Linked DNA regions of Rhinolophus ferrumequinum. Each later gene encodes a partner of the first gene's protein in a complex. Links are inferred from orthologs where the notes say so. Each region holds a gene or a part of one and is shown in the gene's direction. Other genes may lie near its edges.

What was found. The genes of interacting proteins can lie anywhere in the genome.
Region 2: ALYREF (region 1) and MAGOH share a complex: the UniProt entries of both Homo sapiens proteins name them as parts of the ALYREF/THOC4-EJC-RNA complex. The link is inferred for Rhinolophus ferrumequinum from reciprocal best matches to the Homo sapiens genes ALYREF and MAGOH.

The regions. Positions count from the first base shown.
Region 1 is NC_046304.1:54,671,033-54,677,953, reverse strand, and holds the start of ALYREF (THO complex subunit 4), read left to right. Parts: upstream 1-3,913; 5' UTR 3,914-3,934; coding exon 3,935-4,171; intron 4,172-4,615; coding exon 4,616-4,747; intron 4,748-6,155; coding exon 6,156-6,303; intron 6,304-6,868; coding exon 6,869-6,921. Other genes in the region: ANAPC11 (anaphase-promoting complex subunit 11), read right to left, coding at 3,115-3,223. UniProt on the Homo sapiens protein: Functions as an mRNA export adapter; component of the transcription/export (TREX) complex which is thought to couple mRNA transcription, processing and nuclear export, and specifically associates with spliced mRNA and not with unspliced pre-mRNA.
Region 2 is NC_046292.1:38,088,318-38,096,361, reverse strand, and holds the start of MAGOH (protein mago nashi homolog), read left to right. Parts: upstream 1-5,039; 5' UTR 5,040-5,130; coding exon 5,131-5,218; intron 5,219-7,792; coding exon 7,793-7,851; intron 7,852-8,044. UniProt on the Homo sapiens protein: Required for pre-mRNA splicing as component of the spliceosome. Plays a redundant role with MAGOHB as core component of the exon junction complex (EJC) and in the nonsense-mediated decay (NMD) pathway.

The DNA.
Region 1 (6,921 bases):
AGAGCAAGAGGGCCAAGAGGGCTGGGGCCTCAGGCCCGAGAAGCTTCCGTCCCCAAGCGGCAAGACACCGGAGTGGGCTGCACTGCTGTCTACGGCCTGGCCTGTTCTAGGCCGGCTGTGAGCACAGTGCTACCTTCCACCTCTCAGCCGTTTCTAGCCTGAAAAGGTCCCACCTCCAAGGCCCAGGCACACGCTGCCGGCACCTGGGAGCGCTGCATCTATGGACAGGACACGCCACACAGCTCGTGCTCCAGACACAAGCGTCCCTCTGATTTCCCAAATTCTAGAAAACGCTGTCAGTCAGCGGTGCCAGCGGCGCACAGTGACCTCCCCAGGCCCCCCGAGCAGGGTCCCCACAGACATCCAGGAGCTGACACTCGCTGCTTCCACCCTGTCCTGGGGTGCCTTTCCCCCATGCCACTGCCTTGGGGGCCCTCTACACTTAGCGAGCGCTAGCTACATCCAGAGGTCACTGCTGCACAAACACAAGGGACCTCAGAGACAAGCCAGGCCCAGTGACCAGGGACGTCTTTTCCAGGCAGCAGCTCCATTTGCAATACGTGTCTTAGGTGCAGAGGACAGAAACTGTCTTTGGACCCGTGACCACAGGGCCAGGCCTGGCCGCCACTCTTGACACCAAACACGGGGTGGCGTGACCCTGCAGCACATTAAAGAAAGAACACTACGGCCGAGCCATAAAACAATGCTCTCAAAACCCCACTTAACAACCGCTTGCACAGAACAAGGGGCTAGGAACACGGCCTGCACTCTCCTCCAGCCTCTCAGCACTCTGCAGCCTCCTTGGCACCCCATCTCAGACAGGCGGCCGGGGTGGGTACTGGGTCAGGGACAAACATGGGCTCCTAAGTACGCTTGGCGTCTGCTGAGCACGCACAGTTCCCCACCCAAAGGGCACAGCCATCCACCAAGTCATGAGGGAAAGTGGCCACCGCTCCACCTTCTCATTCACTTGTTCGGGACAATGTTTCTCAACCTTTTAAAAATCCTTTCTAAAACAAAAATGTCCCTTGCTTCCTGAGCTTTTATGACAAAACCACCAGAAAATTATGTGCTCAGCAAATACAAAACATGTCACTCACTCTCCTTCCCAGGCCTGTGCAGGAGGCCACACTGTGTGACACCTGATTTAGATTAGTTCCCACCCCCCCCCACCCCGGGCCCCCCGGGCCTTTCCAACCTCAGAAGAAAGAACGCCCCTTGGAATCACCATATAAAAAGTAGAGTCCCTTACAAATAGAGGATGGAAAACCATGAGCAGGAGCCTGCTAGCCGCCTGGTGGGGCACCCGGCCACCCAGCCACTGCTGCAGAGCACGTGGACAGAGGAACCTGCCGGGGGCACGTGTTGAGCACACGAACACCAGGTCGGTGGCTCCCCCAAAGGCCTGCTAGTGTCTTGATGGAAGTCCTTTTTAGTTAAAACACCCCTCAACAAGACTTACTCCCAGAGCCCTCAGGGCCACGGGGCAGGTTCATCATAGGCTCAGAGGCTGTCGTTCCGCACAGGAGCTCCACTTCAGCCACAGAAACCCAGTGCCACCTCAGCTGTACAGAAAGCACCTCATGCTCATCAGGCGCCTTGAACTTGACAACTGGCTCACTCCACAGGGTCCAAGGATCAGACTCTGAACCCCTACTCTCGCAGCTGGCAGGCCCACATGTGGAGATGCCCAGCCACAGGCCCAGCTGGAATAATACTGGCGGGCTCCTCAGGCAGTGCAGGCCCAGTGGTGCCATCTTTATACAGGCTCACTAGCTCACACTGACCAAGGGCACGGCCACAAAAATGCTTTTGAGGCCTTTTCAGAAAGGAACAATCTGCTGCATAGAAAGTTGCAAGGATTTGCTCCTTCCGGCTCCCACTGTCTCTGTGGTACCCTCAGGAAGGGCGATTTAAAAATAGATTAAATCAAACCAAGCCTTGCGCATCGCTGTTCTCATTAAGTGAAACCTGATCAAGTAGAGCCAATCAATGAGTTCCTAAGATTAAGTCCCACCCATTTGATTAAATCAGGATGGACTGATTCCTGGGTAATGAGATCTCTTTTCACCCAAAGCAGATATAAAGATTAAGCCTAGAAGAAAAAAGTATTTGCACTAAAAGTCCATGGTTTACATTTCACTGTAAGAAGCAAAGCACGGTTACTGTTCTGGGCACTCATGTAGCCCCACGAAGACCTGGTCATTCACAGGGCAGTGAGGAGCTCCTCAGGAGTCCCCAAGCCCCCCTTCCCTCTTGGGACCGCCCTTGTACCCTAGACAAAGCCTTGACCCTTGCTTCTGCTTTGGGTTCACTTGGGTCTGACTAAAAAACTCAATTCATTGGTGCAAAAATCTGCTTTTGACCTAAATATATAATCAAACATTCCTACTTCACAGAACATCCTGACGACAAAGGAACAGGGCAAAAGACATCACAAAGAAGAAATCCAACAAAACTTGATGGTAGGCACTCTGCAAGGTAACACGTGGGTTTCCTCAAGGAGTCAGGTGTCTTTAAAGGGGAAAGAGGGGCGGGGGAAGGGCTGTTCTGAGTAGCTAAGGAGCAGAGTAGTGAAACGGGGAGTCCTGGTTCAGACCACTTGGGGAAGAAGACATTTGGGGACAACCGGAGAAATCTGAATGTGGGCTAGGGATGGGCACAGGTGACACAGAGGAATTCTTAGGTTGTCTGATGTGACAACAGTAGCGTTACATTTAAATGCGACTGAGTGAGTGGGGGGAGGCAACACATGAAGCGAACATGGAAACGTTATTCACTGTTACTCCCTGTGCTCAATGGAGGGCGTATCCTTCTAATATTCCTTTTCTTGTTTGAGAATTTTCAAATGAAAGGTTTTAATGCATCTCTTTGTCCCCTGAGTTTCCCGGCCCAGTTTGATCGTGATAAAAGGCTGTACTGTTTCTCCTTACAAAACTTTTGATGGTGTCTTTATACAAATATGGGCCCAAACCGCCTACCTTTTCTCTGCCAACTTTTCTTGAGAAAAGGGAGACCACAACCCAGGGACTTTGTGCGGGTATTTCTGGGGGAGACAGCACCGCCAGGCGAGTAAACAGAGCTCAAGACACAGCGAGCACAGGGGACACTCACAGTCCGGGCAGCAGCCATTAAAGGCCATCCGGCAGATGCCGCAATTCTCGTCGTTGGCCACCCAGAGCCAAGTGGCCACGCCGTTCCAGCACTTAATCTTCACCTTCATGACGGAGGAGCCTGCGGGCGAGGGGAAGACATCACCTGCTGCCCTTAGTCTGCAGAGCGACAGCATTTAGACACCAAACAAGGGATGCTGCCCGAGGCAGAGGGTCGGCTCTGAGAAACCCTTGTAGCCACCGAGAGGGGGAAAGGCGGCTAAAGGGGTCGCCCGTGGGAGGACCGGAGCCCCGGATACTCGCCACGCACTCAGGGCATCTGCAAAGACCGGCCAAAGGGCGCGCTGGCTTTCGCTACTAAACTGCCACAACGTGCCATACAGCACTTCTTGAAGGACATGACTAACTTGGGGGTGACGGGCAGAGACTCGAACCTCGCTTGCTGTGAGTTCACGCGGGAAACCACCACCCAGCCGGAGTCGCCCGAGGGGAGGGGCGACGAGCCCCGTTCCGCCCCGCCCCGCGCCCAAGCGGACTTAATCGCGCGCAGCACCGCCCGCCTTCAGTTGGCAGCGCCGGAGCCCGCGCGCGAAGCTACAAAAACTACCGCGGCCGCGGCCCGGGACCTGGCAGTGGAGCCCGCTGACCCCCCCCGCGTCCCAGTGCGCACGCGCCGCCCCGGCCCCCACCGCCTCCGCCGGCCTGCAACCAATCGGCGGCCGCTCCGAGAACGCGGCACCGGAAGGCCCCGCGCGTCGCCGGAAGTGACGCGCCGGCGTGCTGACGCGCGGGCTCGAGCCGAGGCCGATTCCGCGCCCGCCATGGCCGACAAAATGGACATGTCTCTGGACGACATCATTAAGCTGAACCGGAGCCAGCGAGGCGGCCGCGGCGGGGGTCGGGGCCGCGGCCGGGCTGGCTCGCAGGGAGGCCGCGGCGGCGGAGCACAGGCCGCCGCGCGAGTGAGTCGGGGCGGCGGTCCCATGCGGAACCGGCCGGCCCTCGCCCGCGGCGCGGCGGGCGGCGGTGGCAGGAACCGACCGGCGCCCTACAGCAGGGTGAGTGCGGAGGCCGCCGGCGGGCCGCGGCAGGGGAGCGGCGCGGCGGGGCGGCGCGCGGCCGAGAGGGCGACGGGCCGGGCCGGGCGGGTGGGCGCGGGCGCGGGCGCTGGGCCGGGCGGGAGGTCGCGCGCCGGCCGGGCCCGGGAGGCGGACACCCTCCCGGCCTTTGTCTGGCCGCCGAGCCTCGTGGCGGCAGGCACTGAGGGGACGTTTCCGCGGCCACACCGGCGGCGAGAAGTTAGTTGGAAAAGTCGCGGGACGTGGGGCCCCGGCAGGGTCGACTGCGGCTCGGCGCGGGCGGGAAGCGGAGGGCTTCAGGCCCCTTTCCGCACTTTCCTCCGGGCCCCGCTGGGAGAGGGTCTTCCAGGGGCAGTGAGGGCGAGGGGCAGCCCTGGAATGCAACTCACGGGTTTCTTTCTGTTGTGTGTTTTCCCCCTTCAGCCGAAACAACTTCCTGACAAGTGGCAACATGACCTTTTCGACAGCGGCTTTGGGGGTGGTGCCGGCGTGGAGACCGGTGGGAAACTGCTGGTGTCCAATCTGGATTTTGGAGTGTCGGACGCTGACATACAGGTAAGAGACAGGATCCTGTCGGTCGGTAGTTGACCCACGCGGAATTGATGGCGTTTGGGATGTGGCCCTGAATCCCTTCCCACCTTAGGACATTGAGCCCTCCCAGACACCCGAGGGCTAGCCACTGTCCCCTGTCAGGGGCTGCTAGGGTGGAGAGCCGAGGTCATGCTAGAGCTGAACCTGCAAGGAGTAGGTCCATTTGTGCTGGAAAACAGGCCCCCAGCCTAGTGTAAGGAGCCGCTGCCCTCCCTTACTAAAACCTGTTCCGTGAGTGAGGTTCTCTGCCAGAGCTTCCCGTTTCTAACAGGAAAAGACTGGTCAGACTCGCGTGGTTCCTGTGTTACTGATGGAGCTGGGCTGCTTGCTTGCTTTACTTTGTGCTTGTTTTCATGATTCGTTGAGAGGAGAAAGACCTACCTCTGTAGAGGTGACAGCACAGAAGCAGGCCAGGGCGTCTTTCTGGCTGTCGGCCGTGAGCCCTGTGTCTTACACGTGCCGGTCCACTCACCACCATCCCTCAGGTCTTGTTAGTAGCATGACTTGCCGACCCATCTTTGGTTGAAGCCTCTTCCCGCCCCCCCCTTTTTCTTTTTCTTTTTTTGATTGAACCTCAAAGGCATTTAAACCTATTTTCTGGTTAAATGACAACATCTTGGGGGTCAGTCCTGGAGATGGCCGGGTCAGGGTTCTGGGCCTTCCTGGGTTCAATTTCCCAGAGCCCAGCTGTGGGAGGACAGAGCAAGGCTGATGAGCACTCACAGTGTCTCAACACTTTTTTTAAGGTGGTTTCTGGCATCCACTGGAAACCGCTTTTGGTGAACTCCACTTCCCGCTGTGTGCCTGCGGCCGGAGTAGCCCCACACTCTGGGTTCCCTCTCCAACTCCCAGCCTGCCTGAGGTCAGGGCAGTTTCCATGGCAGCGCTTGACTTCAGACTTTGCGGCAGGCTTGAGTAGGAGGAGAGGGAAAGGTGAGCCAGAATCTGCCCCGGGGGAGGGGCTGGGTCAGGGCTCCCGAGTCAGGGCCCTTGGAGCTGGTCCACATGTCAGACGGCGCCCCTTGAGCTGTGGTCTTGGCCTTTGCTGTTTGTTGGCACAGTCCGTGGGTGTGTTGTACACTTTCCTTTGCTGAAGGAGATAGTGACCTCATGTCGTGCCCTGCACTGATGGGCTTTGCGGCCCTTCACCTGCATCGTGGTACAGATGTCAGGTCCCCAAGTTGGCAGGAGCCCTCAGGCCCAGCTGCTCCTGGAGGGGGCTGTCCCACCTGCCCCATCCTTGCCCCCATTTCCCACTACCACTGCCCTGCCCCCAGGGAAATCCCCTCAAAGTAGCTCACACTTCCAGGGACTGTCCCTGGGCCAGCAGAAGGAAAAGAGCCCGCTGACAGTTGCTGTTTCTAACTCCCAGGAACTCTTTGCTGAGTTTGGCACTCTGAAGAAAGCGGCCGTGCACTACGACCGCTCCGGACGCAGTCTGGGAACAGCCGACGTGCACTTTGAACGGAAGGCAGACGCCCTGAAAGCTATGAAACAGTACAACGGCGTCCCTCTGGATGGTGCGTTTGGGATTGGACCCAAGAAGACTGAGGGGCCACGCCTGGTTTGTGGAGTTGGGGCTGGCACCCGTCCATGCAGGAATATGGCTCTCCCCTCTGGCTGAGGACACTTTGCACTCGCCCCTTTGTCTCTCTCCCACTCTGCCACTTCTCACGCTGCCCCATACATGTGGACCAACCTCTTGTGAACCCCCACCAGCAAGCTACATCCCTCCCCTCGTTCAGCTCCTTCGGAAGACTCACTCCTGTGAAGCCTTCTCAGCCGCCAGAGTACACCTCTGAGTGCGGGGCTGTAGTCGTAAACAAAGGTACCAGCTCTCCTCCTGGCAGGGCGCCCACACCGTTCCGCCCATGAGCAGCCTGGACACCTGACCAGACACCCTCCTAAGCTGGACTGAGGAGCGAGGAGGTGGTGGTGGGTTGTCGTCGGCGCCGTCTCTTGTCGCGAGCGATCGAGACACGCACGGCCCCTTCCCAGTGCCTGCATGGAGACCGGGGCGTGGTGCCCTGGGTGGGCGTCAGAGGTCTCTAACAGGAACGTGCCCTCTTGTATTCTTTGCCACAGGCCGCCCCATGAACATTCAGCTCGTCACGTCACAGATTGACACACAGCGGAGA
Region 2 (8,044 bases), on another chromosome or scaffold:
GCCTTTTGCCCCTGTGCTGTCATATAACTACAGTCATTAACGGGTCACACAGTCATTGGACTATAGAGCTGGAAGGAAGCTTAAAAACGATGCCAGGAGGGCAGGAAATTTATCAGACATATTTTTTCTCTATTTAAAAGAAACTGGTCCCTGTCCTTTTCCTCCCTTTCCTTCTCCAGGAGACTACTTTGGGCTGCCTGATCACTGTACCAAACCTGCTATCTATCTTTCCAATGGAATTATGAAGGCCCTGGCAGAAATGGCCTTTCAGAAACAGAGAAAACTAAAATTTTATTTATTTACTTTAGATAGCATGGTTATTTATAAAACAGATGGAGGTAACCTGTAACCTTGGAATGAGATCAGATTTAAATTTATGGCAAAAAGTACTATTGATCCCTCCAATTCTCTCTTTGTGATTGCAGTATATTAATTCACTGAAACCATTTTCTAGGTACCAACTAAGTGTCAGGCACTACAGATGTACAGGTCAACCAAACATTTTCTGTCTTTATGGAGCACATAATAGCAATAGAGGAAGACATGTGGAAACATAAAAAAGAATAGATTCTTTTCAGAGTATTAAGATACAAAGAGATCATTTCTACCCAAGAAGATGAGGAATGGGGTCAAGAAAGGCATCATAGGAGAAGTGACCTTAAGCTAAGTCTTAAAAATTAAGTAGGGGTGTCCAAGTTGCTTCAGGCAGAGGAGACACAGAGGCATGGAACAGCATGGGGACTTTAAGGAAGTGCATGTAATTCATTAGAAGGAACAAAAAGCTCAAGGGAGACTTAGCAAGAAATGAGGCTCAATGAAAAGACAGGTTCAATTAAGCACTTTATAGAATACTTCTATTTAATTTCTGATTCAATTAAGCAAACATTTCTTGGTCATTTATTGTGTACGAGGCACTGAGTGCATCATGAAAACTTCATCAGGATGTGTTGCCAGCCCTTTGCAGGCTTGGCATTCTTCAGCCTCAAGCTTTCCAGTGGCCAAAGGGAAATCGTGACTGCTTTTCATATATTTGAGTTGAAGTTTTTTGATATGGTCAATGACAACTAATATAAGGGCCGTGGAATTTTCACAGAAGCACTCCACGTTGTCAGGAGCCTCAGATTTTCTCAACAGTGAGAAAGAAAACTGGAAATGTTGAAGACATGAGTCTACAGAGGTAACCCCAGCACTGTCCAGTCAGGCGTTGGTGGGAATGGGGAGAGGGCACAGGAAGGTGAGCCTCCCCACCTCACTCCCTAACTTTAGCCACACACTCGTCATTTCACAGAATATAAATGGTTAGCAGTTAAAACATTTCAGAGTAAATTATTTACTTTCCCATCAATGCATGAAGATAGAGGATTGCAGTTTTCTCACACTGTATTTTTAGGGTATTGGGGATATTCAGGATATGGAGAACTTAGAGGTAGAAGAATTACAGCTTCAAATTTTCAGTTAATAATTCAGGAAGCTCTTTTCATTCAAGCTATGCACCATGTGCATATTCAAAAATCAGCAGAAACCCTCTGTATTTGCAACACTTTGTGCTATAAAAAGTAATTTTAAAAAGAACCACCTGTATATGTATATATAGATATATTTAAAGACATGAAGGTTTTGATACTTTTTTACAAAAATTACAAGAGAAAACAAATACCTGTACAAACCATGTGTTTTAAAATAGCATTTTGTTCTATACAAGCTGTTGTTAATTTGGGGGTGAAGTACTGGTCTGCAAACTCCATCACACTGTACCCCAATGAATTTTCCTTGTTTGTTCCCCACCCCCTCGCACACACACACCCAAATTACCATATTTGATGTAACAGGCAAACAGGCATGTTAGAATGTTGGATCACACTAACCATTTCTGATCTTTTTGTCTCATCATTCCGAGTTCCGTTAGTTTCTGTACTCAGTCCCCTTTGCAGTCTGGTTTCTCTTCCAGAGGCAAAGGGTGGAGTGTTGCATCTTACTAGCTGTATTGACGTCATCTTGGTGAACTAAAAACCAAGTGTGGACATTTGTAAAATCAGTGCACTGTTTCTAGAGAGACATTAAATTCATTTTTTAAAATCTGAAAGTGTTTCATTGTGATGCTTTAATGAGGGGGGAGTGAACAATCATTGGTTGAGTCCCTAGTGTGGACCTAGTATTATTCTACATAAATTACCTTAATGTTCATCAACGAATCTGTGAAATAAATACTGTCAACATTATCATTCCCATTTTATAGATAAGGAAATGGGTGAAGGAACTGCCCAAAGTCATAGTTATGTTTAGTGCCCCCAAAGTACATGTAGCACATAGCGCTCATGTACATGTGGCATTCTCTGCCTCGATTTTCCTTCTCTGCCTCTTTATCTGGCTAACTCCTGTTTGTCCTTGAGTACTCTGCTTAGGCCTACTCCTCCAGGAAGCATTCTCTCAGACCCAGACCTAACTCATAGGGTAGGGTAATTATGCTTCCACAACAAATTTGGCCTACTTGTATCCCAATACTTCTGCCCTGCTTCTCACCCCCATGCCACTGAGGTTGCTTTTTACCAAGGTCAGCCAGGAGCTCATTGATCATAAATAGTGTAAATACTTTCACTCCTTACCTTCCTAGACCTTGCAAGGAGTATTTAACACTGTTGGCACTCCTTTCTTAGGATACTCTTACTTTGGCTTACATGACACCATACTTCTGTTTTTCCCCCTACCTCTCTGGCCACATCTTAATCTCCTTTGCTCACACCTTAAATTATGGTATTCCAGCTCAAATCCATCCATTTTTGTATCTCCATTGCTACTATTGGAGTACATAAAGATCACCATCATGGATTATCACCATCGTAGATTAACAACTAATCTGAATTTCATACTTCTAATTTTTCCATTTTCCAATCCAATCTATAACATTGTAGCCACAGTAATCTTTCTAGAATACATTAGGTCATGCCACCACCACCCCGTTTTACTTTCCTGCTTTAAAGCCCTTCATCTGTTTCCTTTGTATTAAAATCCAGTACCCTTGGGTTTTAGCCTAAACTACTTAATAGGGCTTGTAAGATCCTCATGATTTGGCTTCTGCCCCTTTCCTACCTCTTCTGTATTCTAATCACAGTTCTGGGCCCTCTGGAACATTTCCTTCAGACTTCCCTTAAGCCCCTAGACTGGATTAGGAGCCACTCCCTGTGCTTCCATAGTATTTTGTGCTTCCCCTATTTATAACCTTGATCCCTACATTATAATTGCTTGTATGCTCAATTGCCTCCTCTGCAAGCTCTATAAAGGTCTGTTTTATTCACCATTGTATTCCTAGCGCATGACACACAGATTAAAACCCAATACCCCGGGGTTTTAGCCCAAACTCCTTAATATGTCTTGTAAGGTCCTTCATGATTACCTGATGTCTCTATATACTTAACTCCAGTTACTACCTCAAGATTTTTATAAGGATTGAAGGAACAAGCACTTGTAAATGGGCTCAGCTTTGGGGCTGACATTTATTAGGTGCTTAATACCTGGTGATTCCTTTCACTTTTTTATACAATTTCCTTGTTACCACCTATATCCAGGATTTTTAAAAAATAAAATGCCTTACGGTTTTATGGTAATTTAGTTTGTATTTTCCAATTTCCAAAACATTGTTTCTTATCCTTGAAAGAGTTCTGCCAGGTATATAACAAGCTCATTTTAAAGATAAGAAATCTGAAGTCCAAAAAATTCAGTAAGTTCACCTTTGATCACAGTGAATCACTATCACACAAAGGATTATTTTAACACTTCTCAAGTGATTTTTTTTTTTACATCACATCACACCCACTTTACACTCTGCTACCAATGCTTTTTCTGGGAGAAAATGAACAATGGCAAGACTAGGAATGAGAATCAGACTATAGGCCTGAATACAAAAATAGTATCCAGTTATAGTTGCCAGGTCCCAAGAATGATGCCATCTCGGCACTGTCTCTAGAACCAGTTCCATTCCCCCTCTGGCTGGAACTTAGGTGAGCTAAAGCAGGGTTCTAGTAATTAGGATTTTGATTGCCCTTTGCCTAATCAAGAAGCAAAAATTTCCCACAGCCAGAAATCCTTCACAGAGGTCAACCAGTTTGGCCTGAAGAGACAAGAACCTCTTGGGCAGTTCTCAACCCTGACTCATCCCGGGAGCTTTGCAAAAAACAAACAAACAAAAACCCCAAAACCCCCCAAACAAACAAAAACCCAAAACCACCCATGTCCAGGTCCACTGCGAGAGATCTTGATTTAATTGGTTTGGGGTGGGGCCCAGGCATCGGTATTTTTCAGATGCTCCGAGGTGATTCTATTGTGCAGCCAGGGCTGAGAAATCCCTGCTGGGTAAGCAGTGCATAGATGTCTGGGGAGTGGGAGATCAAATACTCAAATTACCTTCTACGCACGCACTTCAGAGACCAGTGAGGTAGAACGGGAACGGCAGAAACAAAGGGTAGAGGGAAAATGAGAAATACGTGCGGGCAAGTTCATTCCAGAGAAATGGCAGTCTCCACTATGGGTTCAGGAAAAGCATCTCTGACAAAGGTTTTCTCGAACTGGTCCCTAACCAGCCCAGTTCGGTCGGAGCCAACTTTAGACATATGCATATAGTGCGCTGCGTTCTCCTGTGGGAACGGGTCATTTAACCCCATTTTACTGTTGAGATGACCTAGGTCCAGAGACCGCGAGGCGCCTTGTGCGACGCACACAAGTCCTTTGAATGGAAGTTGAGCCTGAAGGGACGCAGGACTCGGGGTGTTCAACCCAAGGTCTTGAAGCGAGGTCTACACACCCCTCACCGAAGCCCTGAATCCCTTCGTGGCTTGGCTGTCGGCCTCACTCCTAGGAGAACGCCGGCGGGTAAATCTCCGCCTCGTTTCCGCCTCGGGCTGAGGGAACGTGGCTGCACTGACCCCTCCACCGAGTGAAAAGAACATTGTTTCCGCCAGGAGAGACCCGGCAGCCTCAGCCCACAGCCCGGCTCGGGTGCGGAGCGGCGCCTTCGCTTCCGGCGATAGCGTTGACTTGACGTCACTTCCGGGCGCCGCCGTAAACGTCAGTGTTGGGCGCGTATGGTGGCGGTGTGGTTTGGTATTCAAGTTTGGTCTCCGTTACCTGTTGCGAGCCATGGAGAGTGACTTTTATCTACGTTACTACGTGGGTCACAAGGGCAAGTTCGGCCACGAATTCCTGGAATTTGAGTTCCGACCCGACGGTGAGAGCGGCCTCCAGCGCCCCGGGAGCTAGGAGTAGGCCTGGGGGGAGGCCAGTGGGGAGCCCGGGGGTCCGGAATGTGCGGGGAATTAGAGGAACGGACTGATACCTGTGCCGCGCGGATCTAGAAGGAACACTCCTGTGCTCTTCCTGTCCATGTGGAGGGACTTCTGTTTAGTGACATTTTTGACCAGCGTGCCTCATTCAGCAAACACTGATTGAACGCCCTCTTTGTGCTAGGCTGTGTTTCACAATCTGGGATACAGATTGATGTGAATGATAGATAAGCTTCCTCTCTCGTGGAACTTGTACTTCTATTGCGGGGAGAGAAATCGTAAACAAAAAAGGAGTCCAGATAGTGATCTGAAAATAAAGCAAAACGATGGAATTGCTGGTGGGCTGCTTTTAGATAGAGTGGCCATTGGAGAGCTCTCTGAAGAGGGGATGTTTGAACTGAGCCCTGTTTGACAAGAAGGAGCCCCCCTTATGAGGCTCAGAAGGAAGAGCATTCTAGGCAGAGGGAGGAACAAGTGTCAAGGCGGTAGGGCAGGGATGAACTAGGCATATTTCAGGTGACCAATATGGTTGAGAGTAGTGACCTCTGGGGAGAATAGTAGGAGATGATGTGGGATAAGTGGCAGGGGTCACACCATGTAGGTCTTTATAGGCCATGGTGAAGAGTTTGGATTTTATTCTAAGTGCAACAGGAAGCAACTGGAAAGTTAAGCAGAGAAGAGATGTGATCTGTGCTTGAGAAAGTATGCTAATTAGTGGGTGCAGAATAGGCAAGAGTGGAAACAGGGCTACTTATTAAGAGACAGTTAACAATTGTCCAGACAAAAGCGATGTTGGTTGGGTGGTAAAAATGGAGAGAAAAATTTAGGGTACTTTTGGAGGACGAACCAATAGGACTTTGTAAATTACATGATTTAGGGAGGGGCCACAGTGGTGAAGGAAAAGGAATAAAAAATGACGGAAAACTCCCACTAAATGGGGGCACAAAGATGAATCTGACAAGCTGAATTTTATGAAGGAGATAGATTTTTAAACAATGATAAGACAGTATTTTAGGTGCTGTGGTAGAAAGAAACAGAAGGGACTCTGGGAGTAGAAAGAAGGCATCTAATCTAGCCTAAGGGTTCAGAGCAGGCTTCTGGCATAAAATAACTTGGGGGCGGGGGAATGTGTCTTTAGTGGCTGTAGGAGTTGTTTAGGCAGATGAGACTCAAGAAGGTATTTTTGGACTGCATTTAAGGCAAAGAGAATGAAAACCAAAAAGTGCATGGGATGTTTCAGGCAGAAACCAAATAGTCCGATTAACTCCAGCTATGGGAGAGAGGACTGTTGCAGGAGTGAGCCTGGAAAGGCAGGGCAGGGGGCTCAGCTTAACAGTATGCCATGTTAATTTGGATTTTATCAAGAAGGCAGTGGGAAGCTACTGTCCATATCACAGTATTAGGAGTAACCTAATCAGATCTGTCTGTTACTACATCAGTTTGTCCACTATAGGGAGAATGAACTGAAAGGACAGACTTGAGGCAGAGAAACAGTGCAGTGAGGCATCAATTAATTTGGCTCTTTTTACATGTGTGCCTTCTATTCTATGGGGAAAAAAATCACCTCTTCTGTTTCTTTGTATCTTCTCCTTCATACCCACCATATACCCAAATTAGCCCGTTGAATGCACATATGCACAAAGGGCCTTATAAACCAAATGTGCTAAATAATAAAACAACTTTTCCATCATAGGAATAGATCAGAATATTGCACAGTCACATGGTAATATATGTAAACAGTATTTTACAGTTTTCAAAAGGCTTTCACAACTCATTTGAGCCTCTGGAGGCTCTCCGTGTAGGTAAGTTCCCAGTTACTCTCCCTGTTTTCAGCTGAGATATGACGTGCCTGTCACAAAAGAGTCTGCCTATGTTCTTTTATCACATCTGAGCTACCTTTTGCAAGAACTGTAATTCATTGTCAGCTATATTTTTGGCTATGAGGCTATTTAATAGCCTGAAGTGAAGAATTGAAAAAATTGTTACTGTTGAAACACCAGAGGTGTAAATAGTTAATCTGGGTGTCGTGCTCCTAATGCTGAGGTTGCCCATTCGATTCCCACATGGGCCAGTGAGCTGTACCCACCACAGCCAAGATTGTGAACAACGGCTCTCCCTGGAGCTGGGCTGCCGTGGGCTGCCGGAGGTTGGCTTGGGCTGCTGTGTGCTGTCAAGAGCAGCCGGTGGCCAGTGTGAGTGGCCGGCAGCCAGCAAGAGGTGCACTGAGCTGCTGTGAGAGACCGACCAACGACCGGCAACCGACTGCCTCAGCCAGGCGGGAGCACAAGGCTCGTAATACCAGCATGGGCCAGGGAGCTGTGTCCTATACAACTACACTGAACAACGGCTTGAACCGGAGTTGAGGGGGGAGGCAGAAAAAGGGGGGGGGGAGTAAATCTGTTAGACACTTGAGGGGAAAGTTAGGATACATTTTAAGCAACAGCTGATTGTCTTAGTAGGCTAATGATGTTTTATTCATGTTTTTATTATACATTGAATTTGTTTTTTGCCCCTCATAGGGAAACTGAGATATGCCAACAACAGCAATTACAAAAATGATGTCATGATCAGAAAAGAGGTAATGAGTCTTCTGAGAGCCTTTCATTCACTACGACTTAGCCTTTTGTCTTGTTTTTGTTCTTTCTGGGAGTAGTATTGAAAGATAAAGAATAGGGAAGTATAGAGTTTGTAGACAGCTTCTAAAGTTTTTCTCAAATCTACTTTTCATTTATATTTTGTTTCACAATGCTGAATCAATTACTGGTAATCAT